Alligator mississippiensis: one gene and its partners. The protein of the gene in region 2 purifies or fractionates together with the protein of the main gene of each other region. This does not show direct contact. Links are inferred from orthologs where the notes say so. Each region holds a gene or a part of one and is shown on either strand. Other genes may lie near its edges.

Region 1 (7,905 bases), on a different chromosome or scaffold from region 2:
AATCTCAGTGACCCACGCAGGCCTGATGTGCACAAAGCCCATTGTCTCTGACACTGCATCAACATTGCTTGAAGCTTCCAAACTTGGCAGAAACTGTAAAGAGCTGGCCCCTCCAAGACAATCCTGGAGAGGTGCCAAGGGGGTTTCTCACTGGGGTCAAGTGCAGCTGAGACATGTCTACCACTGCAACAGCAATAAGAGTAACACTGAGAACCGCATTTCTCCCAGTAAGGTTTTCACAAAGGTGCCCACGGCACACTGTACATTAGGCACCAAGTTACTGCAGCACTGTGATAACCAGAGGGTACTGCTCCAACAGGCATTACCGTTCAGTTAACGTGGTACATGTCCAGACCAAACTGTTCATGGGTTTATACCAATAGCCAGTTTGGAATTACCTATCCCACCTCCCAAAACAAGACACTCTTTCAGATCAAGACAAGACATGATGGCCCTAGGGACAAGATCCTGCTTTGATTTTAATGTTAACCATCACTCCACCCCCATCCCAGTCCCGGCCATTAAAGGTTTCCCCTCGATTTATGCGGGTTCTTTATATGCGAATTCGCTCTTATGCGATGAGCATATTTAGACCTATAATTCGTTATATGCGAGGTAAGTTCACTCTTATGCGATCAGCATAGATGCCCCCCTGCCCAAACAGGTAAGTGTGTGGGGGGAGGGGAAAGGGCCGTGGCCCCACTCACCCCAGCCCCAGCTATATCACACACAGGCTCAGCAGAAGAAAAGAATGCAGGTCTACCCTGACACACAGATTTTCCTCAGCACATCTCAAAGCACCTCTATGGGAGGTACGGCCCTGCCCCTCTTTATCAGGTAAGAAACTGGAGGCAGAGAAAGGAGGAGCGACTTACCCATAAGCCACACAGCAAGTTGCTGGTGGAGTCAGGAGTGAAAACCCAGACTCCTACTCACTTCTAGGTCATGTCAGGCAGAACATGAATAGGCTAGTATTAAGAACTGACACATCGTTCTCCCCAGTCCAGACACAGCTGAAGATGTTCTTGCATCACACTTACAGCACCAGCACACCAACTCACACTTTAGTATTTCCAAGTGAAAGTTACTTTACCCCATGCAATCACATTTTAACAGGCATCAGGCTCAGCCTGGCTTCACGAGTCCAATGGAAGCCAAGGACTCCCCCTCTCCCCCTGGTCTTGTCAACCCCTTCCCTCTATTTCAAGCCACACGATACAACTCAGAACTGCATTTGAGATCAAGTTGTTCGCAGATGCCGCATTAAAGAGAATTAAATGATCTGCAGAACCGTACGGAAAGAGAAATCCAAGTCAAGTTTGGAGGGGGCAGTTTTAAAAAGAATTATTGAGTGTCTGAAAAAAGGCCAACGATGAGACCATTTGTTAGCTGTTCCCGTTTAACTGGGCATGCTGGGGGGAGAACAATGTTGATGTACCGAGATGAATCTCTTTAGCAACAGTCCCTGCCTCCCCTCTCCAGCTGTCAGGCATGCAGAGAAACCCCCAGCTTTGCGCATGCCTCAAACCTCAGAGAGACAGAAACCGCTTCATTCTGTCACCAGAAAGCAGCAGCAATTGGCCCTTGTGTCCTAACAAGAGAGCGTTATCGTTCCCACTTCCAGGCCAGGCTCTTTTTGCCACCTCTTACCCGAGGCATCTTCTTTGCACACAAAGACAGAGGCTGGGTAGGGAAGAAACAGGGGGGGGCGAGATAGGTTTGCCACCCCTTGAAAAACAAGTCACTTCAGAGGTCTGGTGCCATAACAGAGCCTGTGACAGTCCGGGACTGTGGCAGTCGAACTTGTGTGTACACCCAGCCTTCAGCAAGGACACGCACCTCCTGTTTGACTCCTGCACTGCCCTTCACAGGGGCCCAAGCCCCCCAGGTCCCCTCCCCACCTCATGAAATAGCACAATGTCTTCTTCCCTGCTTAGTCAGCAGCCCCCTCCTCTAAAACCAGCTCTGTTCCCAGCACCCCATGAAGCCCTCACTGGGCACCACAAAACTCCCAGCTGGGAAGGCAGCTTAAAGGACCCCTCCTTTTAGAGGGGTTAGAAGATGTTCTAGGGGTTAGAATGTTTAGGGGTTAGAAGATGTTCTAACCCCACACAGCAGAGCTGCAACCCCTTGCTGGGCCAGCTACATCCTGCACCCCCTCCTGCAGCAGGTGAAGCAGGTACAGCCCCTGCACTATCCTCCCCCCAGTGCAGCCCTCTCTCCCTGGAGAAACCCCACTCTTGCAACACAGTCCACTCACTGCTGCACCCCCACCCCACAGCACCCCTAACCCACTGCATAACCCTGCACCCCAAGTCACTGCATCTCCTACTACAAGCCCCTACTCCACTGCACCCCCACCCCAATGCAGTGTACCCCCACCCCACAGCACTCACGACCGCACCGCACCCCCTACCCATTGCACTGCACTGCCCACGGCATGGCACCCCTAACCCACCACAGAACACTGTATCTCCGACTACAACCCCCTACTCCACTGCACCCCCACCCCAATGCAGTGTACCCCCACCCCACAGCACTCACGACCGCACCGCACCCCCTACCCATTGCACTGCACTGCCCACTGCATAGTGCCCCTAACCCACTAGAGAACACTGTACTACACTGCATCTCCGGCTGCAACCCCTGACTCCACTGCACCCCCCACCCCAATGCAGTGTACCTCCACCCCACAGCACTCGCAACCGCACCGTGCCCCCTACCCATTACACTGCACTGCCCGGCTGCATGGCGCCCTCTACCCCACTACAGAGCACTGCACTCCCACCCCACTGCACCGCCACCCCCCCGACCCACTGCATAATACTGCACCCCACTACACCGCGCTGCACTACACCCCCTGCCCCACTGCACTCCCCACCCGGTGCCCGGGGCCCTCGCGCGGTACCTGCTCCCGAGGGTCCTGCTTCCATCCCATCCACCCGGGCGGCGGCCGAGCCTGGCTGAGCGCGGGGCGGAGGCGGGGGCGGGGGCGGCCACACCGACACCTCCCGCTGCCGCCGCAGCCTCTAGGCAGCCTCCTCCACGCCTGGGCCCCAGCGCGCAGGCGCGGCCAAGCAGCCAATCAGCGCCGCCGGCCGGGCCGGGCCCGGGCGCCAACAAAGGCGGGGGCGGGGGAGGCGCCCCCTGGCGGGCGGCCCCTCAGCGCGCGCCGCCATCTTGGGCTCAGAGCGAGGCTGAGCAGCTGCTGCAGGGCTCTGGCAGTGTAGTGCAGTGCATGCAGTGCATGCAGTGTAGTGTATGGACAGGCTGCCTGGGCAGTTATCCCCAAATAACCTGCTCAGTCAACTTGAGCTGGGCAAGCAGAGAACAGCCAGCTCCCACACTAATGCCTGGCTGCACCCCCTTGCCCAGCACCACCGTGGGCCTCCTGTCTTTCTGTGCGTGGGGTCAGAAATGGAGAGACGTGCATGCTGTTGTGTTTCTAAAGCCCTTCGCCTCGAACCCGCCTCAGGGTTCGCGTGAGCTCGGATAGATCCACGCACGGCGAGCTCGCATGTGGACATGTCCCAGGCCACCGCCGCGAGGAGCTGCGCTCGAGGGAAAGCCTGCTGAACCCCCCCGCCGGACGCTCGGGACAGCCTGGAAACATCCCACGACTGCGGCGTTTCTTTTAGCTCGAGAGCGAGCGAGAGACGGAGCCCCAAGGCACACATTTTCCCCCGGGGGAAGTCGTCCATCTCTGAAAACAAGCAGTCATTAAGTGGCTCATCGAGCACCCCGGTCGTTACCATCCCGCTGTAACGATGGTTGCTGCGGCAGGAAGGCCGGGGCAGAGTAACGCAAAGGGAGGAGGCAGTCGTGTGACGTTGAATCTGCAGGGGACGTGGAAGCGCCTTCCCGTATCTCTAGGTCAAATCTGTTTCTTCAGGTGGGACCGGGACATCTGATCAAAATGTCCTTATGCTCATGTTACCGAGCCACCCATTAAATGACTGCCATAGTAACTAAGATGCCCTACAGCACTGTCAGCTCACAGAAACTGGAACAGTTTGTATTTCCTAGGGGGATTATAGCCTGTTTGGCAGAGGATTTTTTTTATTTTGAGACTCATTTTCACTGCCAGTTCATTGAGTGAACAGTAGGGGATGTGCTTATTTATTTGCAGCTTTTATTCAGTTTTTTGGTATGCGCCTTGTTGGCACATGGCAGACCCCTTGGTTGGTAGGACAGCAGGGGCACGTTTGCTGGTGTCGTGGCTAAGAGCACTGCAGTCATAAAGCTGTGGCAGACGAAGGTCTCTGAAAACTTGAGTATCTTGTGATGCTGCAAGCAGTGCATTTTAGGAAGTGAATCTGTCCTGACTTTGCATAGCAGCCGATGCTATGGGTGGAAGGGGGGGTCCCCGTCTAACTGCAGGCCTGAGACTCTGGTGTCTGCATCTAACTAGATGCCTTCAGCTGCCACACGTCCCATTTCAGAACCGATTCACTTCCCATCCCACCAAAGCACTGCCAACCAGAGATGACAGGGACCCAGCTAAGCAAAAGGATGCCGATGTTCCCACATGGGAACATTGATACCTGGTGTATCAGTGCCTTAGGCAAAGGAAGGTCAAATGGCAATCCTCCCCTCAGGGAAACGGAGGTGAATCTACATTAAGGGCCTCACCAGGTTTTAAAACAAGGAGAAATGCAGTTCACTCTTCCTCACTCTAGCTTGAGCAGTCTCCATGGCTGCTGCAGTGATAGCTTGTATTGTGTTCCCTTGAGGGCTTTACTTCCAGGATGCCCAGGTTGGAAAGGGGTCACAAAAATGAGAAGCAGAAGGTGTTTGCTGTAGCACCATGCTGGATGATTAAGGTGGCCTTTCATGATTTGCACTGGTATGGATGGTGATCACTCATTTTCCTTAACACGAAGTGATCTAAAATTGCAAGGAGCACTTATCCTGCAGTTAAAGGACAGGACTGAGAAGCATGTAAAAGAATAACATGCTCTCTTGAGAGACTTATGATGAAATTTGCATGTCACAGATGGCAGGATCCAGTAGAACCAGAAGCTGGTCTGGATTTGAATTAACACAACTGGCCAAAGGCAGTTTCTGCACCAAAATATTAAATGAGCTCTCCCTAAATAACTTTTCAGAGTTATTTGGAATGATGACCTTATGTGTGACCTTACCATAAGCAGCACAGAGCTCGCTGGCATCATTTCAGGTGAATTCAATGCAGCCCAGGAAATAACTGAAAATAAGGACCAGCGTTCATCTTGGTTTTAAATCATGGGTCATGGAATTTAGCAAAGGAAAATATACTCAGAACAGGTCTGTTTGCTTCAAGCTAGTTTTAGAATTATAGGAAATAGGGCTGCAAGGGGCTCTAACCCCTCTTCCTATCCCAGGGCAGGCTCAGCTTCATTTAAAACATCTGGACAGATGTTTGTTTCAGTAACAGATGACCCAACCTTCCTAGGAAATCTATTTCAGTGCAGTCTGGTCAGTAGTCAGGGCCTGTTTTCCTATTTGCATAGGAAGGATTTATGGAGAAAACTCCTGATTGGATTAATGGGAGTTACCCAGATCAGTGATTTACACACCAGCAGCAAGAGAAAGCTATCTTGCAGTTGGATTTCTGAGCATACCTCAGTGCTGAAAGTTCCTTGGAGCCGGTAGCAGCAACAGCATCTGAAGAGCCAGTGCAGGGAGTGATGTGTGTTTGTGTTCACAACTGTGCACTTGTTCCTCTGCCTTGCACATAAATGCAGAACCCATTGCTGATGTAATTACTGAGAGTCAAACTATGGGAAATGAAACCCTGAGAGCTGATCATGGCAGCATTTTCCCACCAGAGACATCTTCCTCCTGACCTCATCACGGTCTCAGGCCCTGATCCTGCAATCTTGTTCCTGTAGATGGAGCATGAGTTCAAGGCAGACCCTGCCCTCAACCAATACTAGATGGCAGAAATGGGGCCTTAGAACCTTTTTTTATAAAGTAACAATTATGGTGCAGGGTCTGTTGTGTTCAGCATCTCCTTGGCAGCATACCACCATCCCTGCATTAGCTTATTTTGTACGACAGAAGTTATAGCTGTATCTTTATCTTTGTGGGCTTTGGCATTTTTATCAATTTGGCAGCTCTTGGCCATCAGAGACATTACCAGGGATCACTATGTGGAAGTGGATCTCGTCGATCCCCACTGCATTGGCTATCAGTGACTAGAAAAGGAACCTTCATAGCTCACAAATGTCTTCCAAGGTCAGTCCTCAGATGGGTAGAAACTAATTGAAAATATGTCATTGCAATTTGGTATAAGTGGAGCAAGGGGTGGGGAGTCAGGACTTAGGAGTTCCATTCCTGGCTCCACCACCGACTCCGTAATACACCCTTGTTCCTCAGTTTAACCCTCATGGAAATCAGTACCAGTAACCAATACATTCTTTCAACAGAGGGGGAAGAGCATGGACCTCTGCAGCTTAAGGAAGAAGTGAAGCAGTATCATGCAGGGTGAAGAACAGACTTCTGTATTTCAGGCAGCCCCAAGTCAAAACATTTTCTATTCAAAAGATTTGCCTACTCTTTCTGAATATAGATGGACAGATGAACACACAGATAGTGGTGTCTTAGGAAATGGGGGTTAGCAATAATCAGTGATCCAGTCATTTCCACTTCAACTTGGAAAGCTAGAAGGAGCCCTCTGAACAAAGGAGACTGACTGGAATAATTCATCAAGTGATGATGCTTTGGCCAGTCTGGTGGGCATCCCCAAACCATTGAAGCCTCAGCTACACATTTGACCCTCAAATCACTGGTGTTGTGATGACAGCTGAACTAGAATGATCCAGTATTGACGCTAATCTGATTAATGGTTGACAATCTAGCCTTTTATTTAAACTACAGATCCATGATTGCTGTGCTGGGTGCAGTCTGAAAAACTAGTCCTTGAGCTGCTGTTTCCCAGCAAGGAGGTAAGACTGGAATCCTGTTGGCTGGAGTAGGGAGCATATGACAAAGTGGGGGGACAGTAGTTAGAGGTGCAGAAACACCAGTCATAGGATTAATTGGAGAGAAGAGGGGACCACCTCTGTTGCCCTTAAGCAGTGAAAGATCACCCTTGAACCTGACCAACTTTTAAAACAGATAAGCTTTAGTGTGGTTCCATTAAATATGTTGCCAAAGCTGCTAATCCATTTTATGCTTATGACTCCAGCCATAAGAGCTGCTGCTCTTATGGCAACTTCAAATACAAATGGTGTGAGTACCAGGTTCTGTATCATTCTAAAAGGATTTAATCACCTACACAAACAGACCTAGCACTGATATTGTTAAAGGAGAAAGAAGTTCACTCTTCTGAAGGGTAATCATACCAGACAGAGCTGCATTAGCCAAGGGCAGTGGTGACACCAGCAACATCATCAAGTTTCAGTTAACCAGACATGGTGTCACGTTGGGTTTGTGTCATTTAAGTTCTCAGGTACAATTTCTACCAATCCTACCATAGTAGAAACCATTATTGGAAAAGGGATTGTACTGGAATTGTCCCTACCTTTACCTGTACTGCCAGGAAGGCTTTGGGGGTATTTGCTGCCAAATTGTGGAATGCTTATTTTACTACCGAGGACCTGATCCATAGATTATAATTACATGCAAGAGCAACAGGGATGATGGAAATCCAGAGGAATGATTGATGGATTTAGCCTGCTTTGGACCATGGTAACCAAGCTACATAGACTCCAGTGATGATAGTAAAGATGACAGCAAGCAGAAACCCATGAAATACAAGCTGTTTGGATCATGTCATACCTCAAGGAAGACCTCAAAGGACAGAAGAACCTGGAGAAGATGGTTGTTCTTACTTCCAATGTGTCCTGTCTCCAGCTCTCTGCAGTTGCCATGTTCCCTTTTGTCCCAATAGCAACTCACTGCTGGAACCCAGTTTCCCTC
Region 2 (6,927 bases):
GTTTCCCCAATATCCAACCTAAACTTCCCTTGCCGCAACTTGAGACCTTTGTAATGCTTTGTTCCATTACAGTTCTGCTAGACCGGTCGTTCTCAACCTTTTTTCTACCAGGACCCATTTCTAAAGATCAATGGCCAGTCCCAACCCAGTGCCCCTCACTCCTGACCCACTGCCCCCTGCCTCCCAGTGTGTGGGGCAGCAGGTGGGTACGTGGGGTATGGGGGGGTGGCCCAAGCAGCCCCATGGAGGTTGGACCACCAGCCTGCAAGGGAAAAACCACGGTTTCCCACAATTTTCTCCTTTAAAGGAGAACCCATTTTTAAAGTTTGTGACCCTTTCAAATATTTTTGCAGCCCATGAGTTGAGAAACACTGGATCTTAAAGTACTTCAAAACAAAATGAGTATTTATACCCATTTTACAGACAAGAAGCCTGATATGGTCCAAAGCAACTGCCCCAGTTTGTGCTAGACGAGAGAACAAAAACCTGGTCTGACTTTCGAGTCCCCCCGCCATCCACAATAACTACTGAACTACACATCACTGGTGTAGCCTGTGAGGCTTCAATACATATACTGTGCAGCAAAAGACGACTGTTCAGTTCTCTCCAGTGTTCGAGCTACGTTCCACAAGTGCCCCCAAGAACGTAAAATAAGTAACTGTAAAGTCAAGGCACATCTATGCCTATACTAAGTGCAAGATCTTATTCTAACACTCTGTCCTTCCTTCCCCTTCACTCTCCATCTCCCCAAGTGTTCACTGCCCTCATTCATCACTTCCTATATAACATTACACAATATCTCAGCAACTGGGACTACATTTTTGTCCAGTAAAATTCCTAGCACTCGCAGTACTGCGAGTACATTGTTCCCTTGCTCACTTTCATTTTTTTCCCCTAGAAATTCCATTGTGCATGGTGGTAATCATTTCCTCTGCCTCGGCGATGTTTATACCTCCTCAAATACTTGTACTTGAAGAGGTATTTTGTTTCAAACATTATAATATACACACACTTAAAGATTACAAGCCAGCACATTCAGCAATCCAACTAGGGCTTGCAGATTGACAGCAAAGTCCTTTCCTTCATTAATATTCTACCTAATTTTCATTCAAGCCTACTGCATCTTTATGAAGTTTGCCCATAGCAGCCAGCTGCCTTCTTCTTCCTGTGGCTAAAAACATTTCTTTGTTTCCTCTGCCGTGATTATACTTATGGAGCAATGACTATACTTATGGAGCAGTATTCACACATGGTTTGAGGAAAAAAGAATTCAAAAAATTTCCCCAGCATATTTTCGGGACACGGGAAAAGCTTTCTTTTCAATTGTTTATTATACTCGGGTTGAACACGGCTCTTGCCCCATGACGACTGGCTAAAATGTTTTAAGTCAAGTTTCAGCATCTTTCCCAGCCAACCTTAAAGTCTTGATTTAAAATCAGCTATCCTCCAAAACAGATGAGAAAGCAATATTTTAATACCATCAGTTTGCTCATTTGATGGGATGGCACTTCACAAACTGGCACCTTCAGGCCTCCCCTACACCACGTAAGCTACCATTAGCAAAGCCCTGTTTATTTAAACACAGACAATCTCATCATGCAGACAAAACTATACAAAGCTGCGTCGAAAGGCATCTTGAATACATCACTAGAGATGTGGACTGGAATTCATCAACTCAAGACATGCATTATTTCTGAATTTATTCGTCAAAAGCTCTTACATCCCATCATGCAAATGATATTCTTTTGTGGTATCAATATGTTTGTCCGAGTATGCATTTACCAGCAGGAAAATAGCAGCTTCACGACAGCTATTTTGCCTATTGACTAAGAGAGAGAAAATAAGAGCAAGAACCTAAAATCATGTCTATTTTGTGCAATTTATTATAATTGCTCCAACTTCTCTCTCACGTCTTTATTTTTACGCTTCGCAGGATATTTTAGGCAGGTATCATTAGGAAAAATACTGGTGTCTTGACATAAGAGCTTCGTTTTGTGACAAAGCTTTGGCTTTTAGAGAAAGAAAGAAAAAAAGAAAGAAAGAGCCCCCCTTTGTGCGGTGTATCACTGCTGCAGACCAAGGGGTCTCTGCTCCAGTGCCCTAGAGAGCGCAGCTATAGGAAGTCGCAGGACACCATTTCAGCAGTGGGTAAAAGGTTGCCTGTGGTTCATGCAGCCCAGTTGTCAATCAGCCGGTCTAAAATGGGTGGCCAAGCTCCAGCATATGTGCCACAAGTGTCACAGGCAGCGCGTGTGTGGCACGAGGCAGAGCGGGGAGGGGGCAGGCAGCACAGGGGCAGATAGACCGGGGAGCAGAAAGCAGAGCAGCGGAGCAGATAGGGGGAAAGTCCTGTTTGCAAACAGGTAAAACTGTAGCAAAGCAGAACATTTACCTTTTCATTTTTACAAAAACCCAGGGCAAACAAGACTAAGGACGCGGGGACTTTTGCTAAATTAAACATTCCAGGTTAAAAATGACACTGTTGCGACTTGAACAAGATGCGCCACAGCAAAGGCATCCATCCCCCCCTGCTCGCTCACTGCCAGGCAGGGGGGCAGGCCCCGCATCTACCCCCGGGCAGCCGGATGCCCCTCGGTGGCATCGGACACCCAGGACGGATTCGCAGGGACGAAGCCCCCGGGGCTCCCCAGGACCAGGGCTGGAGCTGGCTTTGGGGCGCCCTGCCTGCCACCCTTGATGTCCAGAGACCAGGCACAACGCTCAGGGCCGAAGGCGCTGGGGCTCGGCCTCGAGACCCCTCCACACATCGCAGCTTCCGTGCACACACTCACCCCCACCCCCAAAAAAGCGATTTTTTTGTAGTTAAAATTCCCCAGTTGGTCTAATCAGAGGTAGCATTTGGGAACCAAGAGCTCCACATGTTTGCATTTCGCACCCTGCACCACAGGGAAGCAGCGGAACAGATCCCCCACCCGCCCCGCGCTGCCCAGCCCCGCTACCTGCCGCCGCCGCTGCCCGCTGCGAATGCACTGAGCTCCCGCGCCGGCCGCGGGTCCCCTGCGCGAGGCCACGCCCCTCGGCGCGTCCATTGGCAGTCAGCCTTGCCCGTCCGGGCGAGCCGCCTGCTCATTGGCCATCTCTGCTCCCGCATGCAAATCAACAGGGTGTTCTACCCCCGCCCCCCCGGGGTGCTGAGCTCGAGGCCGGGGGCAGCGCGCGGCTGGCTGCAGCTGCCCAGATGTGCCCGGCGCTGCGCGGCGCCTCGGGGCCGGGAGTGGTAGCCGCTCGTTCCGCGGGGCAGCGCGGCTCTGGGAGCGGGGAAGAGCCATCATCGCCCCCCCAGCAGTGAGCAGGGGAAGAGGAAGAAGAGTAGCGATAACAACAAAAGTGGTCGTGGATACCCGTAAGGAGAAATAGTCATTACAACAGAGCTGATGCTGATCCGAGCCGTGATCAGGATGCGATCCAAATGTTAATCCATAATAACAACAGCAGCAGCAACGATGAGGATTACTGCTGGGGCCGTCCTCCTCCTCATCGCACAATAAGAAATAATAAATGATATCAGCAGCGACAGCGATAAGGATGATGGCAATAGCAGCAACAATAATAGTCCTCCTCCTCCTCAAGGTACAAGGAATGAAAATAAAAATAGTCATAATAGCAACAACGATGACGGTGATGATACCAGCAGCGATCATCATCATTATCGTGGTACAATAAAAATACAGCCGCAGCAATGATGATACCAGCAGCAATAACGTCATCATCATCTTGCAATAATAATAATAATGGCCAAAACAAGGAGGAGGAGGAAGAGGATGATAACAGCAATAACAGTAATAGTAATTATCATCATGCAACAATAAATAAATAACAACAGCAACAACAACAGTAATGATGGTGATGATAGTAATACAAACGACATTGCACTAATAATAGTACTATTAAAATGATAACAAAAATAGTAATGCTACTGCTACTAATACTATTAATAATACTATTCAGAGTCACTCCTTCCACTGCTCAGTTTTGCTTGGTGTGGGGGTCTCTCATCCTCCCCCACAAGAGTGGAAAGAAAACCAGTGAACCCACATGTGAAAATGTAACCCACAAATTCCTACAACTGGCTTTTTTATTTATTTGTTTTGTCTCCTCTGACCCTTTGCTTGCTGCAACAGTGAAAGCAGACTGGCTCCTACCTTCCCTTCTCCTGCTCCCCTCTCCCCCTCTGTTTTGCCGCACAGGGTATCCTTGCCTGGGGAAGTGCGTATGACGGGGGGCAGACTCCTGTACCTGAGAGCGCTGGCCAACATTCCCAATGTCCCCAGGGGGCTCAGGTCACAGCAGCTCCCTCGCCCCGTGACACATTTGGGGCCAGGTTTTCTACACTCCCTGTGCTGAGTGAGTGAGTGAGCTCTTCAGGGAAAAAGTGGGCTGCGTGTTTCAACTCTGAACATAATTGCACAGACTGACTCAGCAGCTCTGTCGCCCCAGTTGCAAGGGAGTCAGTCCCTACCTAACTCTGTTGCACTAGCCCAGCAGTGCTAAAGAGTTGCTCTACTTGAGGCCTGCAAGTCTGTGTCAAGGTATTCTCTATCTTCAAGCTAAACCCATTTGTCCTCAGTCCACCCCTTTGGTGGATGCCTGGCTTTCGAAGCATGTGGCATATTCTGACCACTGTTTAGAGACACAGCAGGGGTGGGAGTTAAACACTAACTAAACTCCTCTTTTCTTTGTTTTATGGGTTTAATATTAGACTAGCCCTGTTATCAGAACATATAGTTTTCTGGTTTGTTCCCTTGGCTGTTATTTTTAGCATTGTATCAGAAAAACAAACCCTCTTGTAGTTTTCTAAAAGTTAGCGCTAGAAAGGAATTTTTTGGAGGAAATGATGGTTATTGTAATGATTGTGGCTGTTGTTTGGCTTAAGACTTTTGTTTTAAACTGTATTGGAAACAGCACTGTAGCTAGAACCCAGAATGCTGTGTGTAATGTAATACCTTCTCACTAGTGTTGCACTTTATGTTTCAGTAGCTGTCAGTTTAGGACAGGGAAAGTAGCTAAATTACTTGTATTTTTTCAGTCTCATGTTCTGGTTTACTGGCAGCAGCGGACAAATGGTCAAACCAGCCCTAAACTCTTGGAAGCCTGGCTCCAATCCTGGGCACGGAGCATTTGAAAGTCCAACCCTCCAACCTTTTTATTTCCTTTTTAATTGGCTTGATTGGTATTATAAGACAACCAGGGCCCCAACCATGGTCAGGACCTGATTGTCTTGAGAGCTGTACAAATATCAAAGGAGACGTTTTCATTTGTTTTTCATCTGCAAAGGACCACCTCTTACTATAAATCTGCAATTGGACCTGGCTTTCCCCCTTTTATTGCTACAATAGGTGACCTAAGGACAAGCTTATTTGTCAGTGGATTTATAATGTTATTAATCTCTTTCTGGCAGTGTCTGTTTTTTTGATGTGATGTTGAATCATGTTAGCTTTTTTGCCTTTAGAGACCAACAGAATGCCTTGGAAATGAGAGGCTAAAATTGAAACTGAAATTTAGAAGGTAGCAGCTGGTTCAGTGTAAGGGGGAGTTACTTTAACACAGCTTTTGCCTAATTGAAATGCAGTGGGGAAACTCTGGACATTCATAAATACACGAGGAACAAAATCTACCAGCATTGTTTTAACTTTCATTTTAAATCCTCCTATAACCTTAAACGTTACATCGTTTCCCTGACCCAACCCCAACACTTCTATTTCCCATTTAACAAGCCATTATTGCGGGCTTCAAAGATAGCCAACGCGAAACAGGCCACTTATTTTGTGCAGAAAGCATGAGTGAGGCCAGAGTCCTCCACCATATCTCCACTGGATACCATGAAAGTCAGTGGGAGGAGCTCACACACTGGCTTCACACTGTACCACAAAAATGGCAGCTACTTTCTTTAAAAATGATCACTTGGCATGAATGTGATGGAATTTTCTTTTAAAGAACACTTTTCAATCTGGATGATGTTCTGTAACAAATTCTAGCTATTTAAAAGTTGGGGCTTATCACGCCCCTATTTCTCTCCCCTCCTTAATTTTATAGTACTATTTTAGAAGGAAATTAAATTTAAAAAGGACATTAAAACAGTGAGACTGACGTAAACTCCCAAAAGCCAGGAAATTCACAGCTAAGGCAGCCACTCTGTCCTCAGTTCACCTTCTTGTGCCTGTGTATTGCAGCATAGGCATTATGTAAGATCACACTGTTCTGAGACCTCTGCAATGCTTATGCTAAAGTGGTTGGATTCAGAGCAAAATAGAAGCCTCCGATTGCTTGTTTTTTTTCTCTTTAGGCTTTTATAAGTGAATTTAGAGTAGATGAGAAAGTCAAGTATTAGTCACACTAACTTCATCTGCTGGCAAGTATCTGCATAAAACATTACCAGTGCATCTTTCCCCAACCTACAGCACCCCTTCCCATTCTTGCTGTAGGTTCACATCCAGCTCTGGCAGCATGCCTCAAGTCTGACATACTAAAGCACCTCTTCAACACTGTCACCCCAACCCCTTCTTTTCCCCCAGTGTATGCCAGCCGTGACCCACAAACAGCCTCTGCTATTCCAGCTGTGAGCCCAGACAATCCAGTGTACCCCACAGCTCTGCCAGTGTCCCTTAGTCTTAACTCAACACCGTTATTCAGGTGCTGGGCCTCTCTCGAGCTGAGATTGCCAGTTGTGTAAACCTAAATGTCCTGCCTTTGGGCAATTTGGGATAGAACATTAATATAATTTTAACTGTGCTGCAGCTTCTAGTCCTTGTTATGCAAAAGATATTGCCTGTCAACCAAAGGGTAATATCGGGTAAGAATTTGTATCAGCTGCTACTGTGGGAGAACATAACACAGCTCTGATACTTCATAGAGGCATGTACTCAGGAACATGTTATCTATGTAGAGCTAGGTACTTACTGCCAAAGC
Region 3 (6,911 bases), on a different chromosome or scaffold from region 2:
GCATGCACACAGCTCTTTGTCTCCGCAGAGATAGGTGAAGCCCCTGACATCACAAGGACCACCAAGCCAGACAGTCGGCCTTCACGACAATGGGTCAGCAGCTACCTGTGTCCTTCACGGTACCCTCTCCAAGGCACGCACGCACTCTCTGTCATAAGTAGATTCCTTCCCAGCACAGCTGAGCGTGTTTTATCTGCAGGCTTCCAAACACGAGACAGATAGAAAATGTTGTCTTCTCTAGTTTACTTGGAGCGAAAGGGGAACACCAGTAAACATCAGGCACAAAGGTTTCCAGCAAAGGCCATGATGGAAAATTTTCCTCTAAGCGACTTGCCTGAGTCTCTGACCAGCCCCAGGGCAGAGGCAGGATAGAACAGGAGTGCAGACACCCAGTCCCCCTGCTCTTGCTAGAAGGCAACTCTTCCTAGATAAGGCCTTGTCCACACTAGAAATGCTCTGATTGTGTAGCTGAATAGGCCTGCTCTCCTGTTCCAGCAGTTCTCTGAATGAAATAAGCTGTACCAGTTGGATATCGGCATCGGGATTATCCAGAAGCAACATTACTACAGTGGCAGAAGCTTCTGAGTAGAGCTGATCTAATGTCAATGGTGCACTGTATCCTCTATCGCGGGGGTCAAAAGGGTTTTGTACCACTGGTGTGATGGCAAATCACTGTGTAGGGGGGTGCTCGAGGGGCTGTTTCAGGAAGCAAAGGACAGAGAAGACTTTTGCCGGCACAGAACATCCCAGCACAGTGCAGAATTGTGGAATCCTTTTCTCTTGCAGGCAGGTGTCCCCATAGCTGGCGTCATAGAGACTGGTGCAGCCTGTTCGGACACATCCTATCCATCCCCTGGGGCCAGTGCAGGATTGTTCCCTCCACTGTGGATTGCAAATGCTGTGTTTTGGCAGGAAAAGAAGCTTGGGGCAGCTCGCTCCGCTGCCACGTGAGCTGGGTGGGAGTTTCCTTTAGGAAGGTGGAAAGTTATTGTATTCCTTGTGCTGCCTGGAGACTCATCAGGCCTGTTGATTAGAAGTCACTCTCCTTTCCAAACAAATGAGTTAGGACTGACAGGGCTGCCAATATGGTTTCCTAGCGGGGAGGCAAAATCATAAGACGATCACCTCCATACATGGGGCTCTGAGTCCATGGGGCGGGAAGGGACTTGCTGCAGTGGGCAGAGGGCTGTTCCTTCCCTGAGCAAATGGTAGAACAGAAAGGAAATGTGGGGTGATTGGTAAGGATCACTTATCCCTGCTGAGACTGGATAAAGCTGCTGCAAAGTTGTGCTGCCCTACTGGAGAGCTGCAGCCCTGTGGCAGGGGCTGCAGGCTTCCCTCAGTCCCTAACACAACCTGCCCCATTGCTATGTGGATCATCTGTTGAAAGACATGCAGTGCCCTAGCCTGGAAGCTGGGAAATACCAGCAGGTGGTGCCCAGAGTGAAAAGGTACCACTCGGGCAGGCAGAAGGTACCACAGAGCACAGCGTGCTCAGGGGTCAGGCAAGCACAGAGCCTGTGTCCCCGGGACGAGGGCCGGCATGCACCACACTCATCCAGATGACAGAATGGAAAGTCCCAGAGAATTCCTCTCTGATTGATGAATGAAATCTCTTCCTCAAAAATGCTGACTAGCAAAAGGACTGACCAATGAATCTGGAGAACAGCTCAGGTCCCACTTCCAAGATCTTTGTGTTCCTGGAACCCAAGGATATCTGAATCACTTGTGTCAGTTGGAACCACTAATGAATCTAGTGCCATGAGGCTGGGAAAGGCATCTGGGGGGAGGAGGGGGTTCAATTTCTGTTGCCCTGAATTGAAATGAAAATGGTTTCCTCCTTATCTCACTCCAGCTAAGGGGCAGGAAATGGATATAAATCAACATAGTGGAGTCAGAGACACAAGCCTTTATGCCTGCCGAGGCTCTGGCCACAGAAAACATCTGACACAGCTCCCAAAGGTCAGAGAAGAGACAGGGGACAGGGGAGCCACTGGGGCCAGTGTCCAGGCATCATAGAAGGGCTGAGAGGAGCACTGGACGCAGCGTGGGAGGGCTCAGAGAACAGGCAGGTGTTGCAGCAATGGATGCTTATGAAAACTGACCCAAGTGTTGGGCTCTCTCATGGGCACTGTCCAAACTGGCATCTGTTTAGGGCTCTCTCCACTGAGACTCATAGAGGCTATCAGTAAATACTGCTGGTGTGACAGGCTTTTGCTGCTGGTACTCTAACCTGTCTCTTTCTAGCTTACAGACCTGAGAATCATGGAAGAGAAGTGACTCGCCAAAGGTCACACAGTAGGGCAGTTGCAGAGCCAGTTCTGACTCCAGTTGCCTGCTTTACCCACTAATCACTGAGCCCGTCCCTCTCCTTGCCCCATCAGCTGTTTTTCCCTACATCTGTCTCCTCTGCCTACCTCTGTCCCTTGAAAGCTGGGCTTGGCTTTGACGTTTATCTCAGGACTGCTGTAAGAGCTAATCCTTTCTCTGCCTGCCTGCTGCGAATGATCTCTTCTCTTAGCTGTCTCGGAGCCCCCTGCTGGCACTCTGCTTATGTAGCCACCTGTGGCACCCTGACGGCTGCTGCTGCATCCGAGCACGCTGCCAAACTGTAACGTGGGCAGTAGGCAGATGTCACGGCGCTGGCCTCCTGGAGGGGAGCACGGGACGCTATGGAGGTGATTTAACTCAGTGACGCAGCTGGATGCTGCACTGATGCAATGCTGATGTGCCGGATAGAACGAGTGTCCTCTGCATGAGGGCATGAGGGGGTGTCACGGCGTGAAGCAACGATGCTGAGACACAACAGGATGGTTCAGTGTGGCACTGTGACTCAGGATGCGTTGCTGTGGCGTGTAGGCACAGGATGATGATGCAGAGGTGCCTGCGATTACTATTCCTTCTTTTCCTTCCCAGACTGACAAGAGGCCAGAGCCTGGTATTAGGGCCTTGTTACACCTTACACTATGAGCTGCACAAGTATAGATGGGGGGTCAGTGCTGGCTCGGGTTTGGAGCGGTCACACTTCAGGCCGGAGGGGGCCTGGAGGACTGAAAGGTAAGAACCCCCCCTCCCCTTCTGGGCTTCCCCCAGTCCCCTGCCTCTGGGGCTTCCTCCGTTCCCCCCTTGCTTCCCCTCACTAGAGCACTACTTACTTGTAGGTAGGTGGCAGAGAGCAAAGCCCTGCCCTGGCGCTCTGAGCCCCGCGCCACCACGAGCGCTGCAACCCAGCTTCAGGTGCTGACGCGTGGACAATCTGGGGGTTACGAGCCCCAGGAGCCACAAGGCCCTGCCAGACCCTGGGCAGCCCTGGCAGAGGTCCTGCTGGTGCCGCAGGCTCCGGTCTCTCAAGGGTCGGAGGAGAAAGCCCACGACGCTCCCATGAGGGATGAGTATGGCAGGGCACCCGGCGCCCGTCACTGCAGCTGGCACCCATGGGTGAGCGCACCTGGCAATGTACAATGCACTGAGGCTATGCGCAAGCCTAAAGATAGTGGACAGGAGGCCATACACAGCTGTCCCAGGGCTGCTGCAATGAAACAGGGGTGACGTCACAGGGGCGCCTTGACGTCACGCCGCCGTGTGACGACACCCCGGGGGACGCGAGTGCTGGGAGGAGGGGGCGGGGCAGGTGGATGCTCCAGGGAACAGTGCGATGACGTAACGTTCGCAGTCGATGACGCAACCGACCGCGAGGCCACGCGTGCGTCACTCAGCGAGCACGCGGGCCAATCACACACGCAGCGCGGGGCGGGGCAGGCGCGGATCCCCGCCCAATCCGCGCCCGCGTGACGGCCTCTCGATCCGCCCTCTTCTCGCGGCTCTTCCAGAACCATAGCTCCCAGCGGGCAGCGCGGCGGCGCCCCGGAAGTAGTGGAGCATGGCCGGCGGATCCGGAAGCCCCGGGCGAGGCGCGGGCGGCAGCGCGCCGGCTCTGAGCGAGCAGGCGGCCCCGCGGCGGGCCGGGCCGGGCGGCGGTGGCAGCAGCAGCATGGCCAAGCAGTACGACATGGTGGAGTGCCCCTTCTGCGACGAGGTGTCCAAGTACGAGAAGCTGGCCAAGATCGGCCAGGGCACCTTCGGGTGAGCGCCCCCCGCCCCGCCCCGCCGCTCCGGGTACAGGCCCCGGGAGCCCCTCCTGCCCCCGCCCCCCCGGCCTGGGGCCTCCCGGGGCTGCGCGAGCCCGTCCCCGCTGCCCTCCTCGGGGCTTCCTAGGGGCCAGCTGCCCCCTCCGGGCCGAGCAGCCGGCCCTGCCCCGGGTGGGGGGAGGCAGTTGGGTCTGGCTCGCCCTCGCTGGGCTGCGGCCACTCGCGCGTGGCTGAGCGCGGCCTCTTTCGCCCCGCAGGGAGGTGTTCAAAGCCAAGCACCGGCAGACGGGCAAGAAGGTGGCGCTGAAGAAGGTGCTGATGGAGAACGAGAAGGAGGGGGTAAGGCAGGCGTGCGGTGTGTTGGGGGCGGCTAGAGCCCTGTAATACCCCGGGCAGAGTTGTTGGGAGGGTGCAGGTTGTTCGTGGGGCACTTTGCTGCTGGGCTCCGTAGCCACGTTGGTGTCTGTCTCTGCAACGTGTGAGGCCGTTTCCATCCAGCAAGCGTGGTGCGCTCGTATGCAGGGGTAAGGTTGCTTGGTGCTGTACCTCTCTCGTTAGCCTCGTGGCTGCCCTTGCCTTGCGGGACGGACCCCAGTGAGACACTGAAGGGGGTGAGCGCTTTGCTGACCTGGCTTGTGTCCACCACGTGGGTCTGGTCCACCTGTCAAGTCTGAATTGCCAGCAGTAGGGTCAGAAGCAGAATAGATCTGCACCCTTTCCCCATCCCAGGTTAAACTGGGTGCTGTGGAATAAAGGTCTGTTCCCCTGAGGATTTTCAGCACCCGCAGCATTCACCGTCTTTGCTAAGAGCGCTCGGCAGCTCTCGCATCAGTCTTGGTTTGCAAACATGCCTGGAAGGCACCGAGCACAGCTTTGGGTTTCCACCAAGTTGGGCTCAGCGTCTCGCTCTAATTGTATTTGAGGTCTGTGTTGTTTCTGTTTGAGTGTTTCCGCTTTGTCTCTTTAATCCTCTCAAGGGCTCCAGACCAGTCTGATATGATCCTTTGCCATCCTAACCGGTGGGCCTCATTTCTCCTTTTTCAGTTTCCTATCACAGCCCTGCGAGAGATTAAAATCCTTCAGCTGCTCAAGCATGAGAACGTGGTGAACCTTATAGAGATCTGCAGGACCAAAGGTATTGTTTTGTTGTTCCCCTCTTGGCTCATGTCAGCTGCTTTCTGGAGTATCCAGTAACATTGGCCTGCTGGGTGACTGGGTGCACATCGCTTTCCTCCCTTTGCTGCAGTTCCCCTGTCTGCACAGAGAGAGCAATGCTATTGACCCTTTTTGTAAAGCAGTTCAATCCCTACTGGTGGAAAGTGCTGTGTAAGAGCTAGGAGGTGTGCTATTTGTAATGCATCATTCCTACATGAGATGTAAGATAGGAAGTCCAGGGGATCTGGCAAGGCATCAGCTTGTACTTGGTTGTATTGTAACTCATGTAGATGAAGCTTTCATAGACTCCTTTGAAATATTGTGCTACAACAGTGAAAGGCCTGCGTACATATCTGTCTTTTGTATACAGGAAAGCTCATGCTTTTGTGTGTGTTGCCTTAAAATCACACTGGAGAGAAACCTGATGTAAATTTCTTGTCCTGAAATTGATTTTTTTTTTCCTTTTAAAGCATCAATAGATATAAAATATATCTATTCTGTGTTGCTTTTGCAGCAGTAGCTGGATTTATTTAGCACAATACAGGGTGACTATTTAACTCTGGTTTTATAATAGTACTTTGGCTCAGTGTGTTCACTTACTGTTGCTTGGGGAGGAACTGCCTATACTTTAGTAGATGAATTCAATGGCTTTCCATTTTCACAGTGCAGTTCCATCACTTGAATGCCTGCTTGTTCTTTGACTCGTTGTTTTGTGGACAGTTTCTGGCAGGGAGGATGTTGCCTCTTCTCTACAGGACCTAGCATGTAAGGCCACTGGAAGCGAGTAGATAAAAGTTAATTTTTAAAAAGTTTTTAAAATTTTTAAACCAAATATAGGTTTTTGATTTTTTGTTTTCTTTTAAAAATAAACCTGTTTGACATCCTGACAACTTTAATGGATGATGGTAAGCATATGTGCTAAAACTGCCAAGGCTTAAATAAAAATTCAAGCAGTGCCTGCCAGGTGTTGAAATTGTAAAGAAAATCATGCCACTGAAATGATGGAAATCTCTGGTTTAGCCCCTGGAGTCAGTCTGCTAAAGTGCCAAATCGGTTTTTGATAGCATTTCATTCTCTGCACCTGGAGAAGAACATTGTTCGTTTTGGTTCATTCAGCTAGTTCAGTTCACTGACTTGTTTTCAGTTCCCAAATCTGGGCAAACAAGCTTTCTTTCCTATTGCTTTCTTTCACTCTATGGAATGCCAAATAAGGCACTAGAATGAGATGCTAGTTTTTAAATGTTGTAGGGCATAATGGCCAGAAATAATCGCTACTGATTCATAGTTAGTTTACACTAACTAGCTATTGATTCGTTGACCAAATGGATCTTGTTTCTCTCTTTTTTTTTTTTTTGTGCCCAGCAAGTCGGAGGGGACCAACAGACATTGGGGGAGTCCCTGTTCCCCCGAGCACTACCAGGAGTGACTAGAAATAACGGTCACAAGCTGGCAGAGGGTAGATTCAGACTAGACATCAGGACGCGCTGCTTCAGTCAGGGTAGTTAGGATCTGGAACCAACTTCCAAGAGAAATGGTGCTGGCTCCTACCCTGGGGGTCTTTAAGAGGAGGCTAGATAAACACCTTGCTGGGGTTGTTTGACCCTAGTACTCTTTCCTGCCATAGCAGGGGGTCGGATTTGATGATCTGCTCAGGTCCCTTCCGACCCT

Evidence for each region.
Region 1: the proteins of FKBP5 (region 2) and protein argonaute-1 purify together in Homo sapiens (affinity purification with mass spectrometry; 6 studies listed by BioGRID and IntAct, with this or other methods). This does not show direct contact. The link is inferred for Alligator mississippiensis from reciprocal best matches to the Homo sapiens genes FKBP5 and AGO1.
Region 3: the proteins of FKBP5 (region 2) and CDK9 purify together in Homo sapiens (affinity purification with mass spectrometry; 10 studies listed by BioGRID and IntAct, counting the BioPlex papers as one, with this or other methods). This does not show direct contact. The link is inferred for Alligator mississippiensis from reciprocal best matches to the Homo sapiens genes FKBP5 and CDK9.

What each region holds. Positions count from the first base shown.
Region 1 is NC_081829.1:8,966,155-8,974,059, reverse strand, and holds the start of protein argonaute-1, read right to left. Parts: upstream 3,018-7,905; 5' UTR 2,934-3,017; coding exon 2,909-2,933; intron 1-2,908.
Region 2 is NC_081837.1:36,311,573-36,318,499, reverse strand, and holds the start of FKBP5 (peptidyl-prolyl cis-trans isomerase FKBP5), read right to left. Parts: upstream 3,013-6,927; 5' UTR 2,961-3,012; intron 1-2,960. UniProt on the Homo sapiens protein: Immunophilin protein with PPIase and co-chaperone activities. Component of unligated steroid receptors heterocomplexes through interaction with heat-shock protein 90 (HSP90).
Region 3 is NC_081835.1:57,370,807-57,377,717, reverse strand, and holds the start of CDK9 (cyclin-dependent kinase 9), read left to right. Parts: upstream 1-3,894; 5' UTR 3,895-3,991; coding exon 3,992-4,083; intron 4,084-4,345; coding exon 4,346-4,427; intron 4,428-5,132; coding exon 5,133-5,223; intron 5,224-6,911. UniProt on the Homo sapiens protein: Protein kinase involved in the regulation of transcription.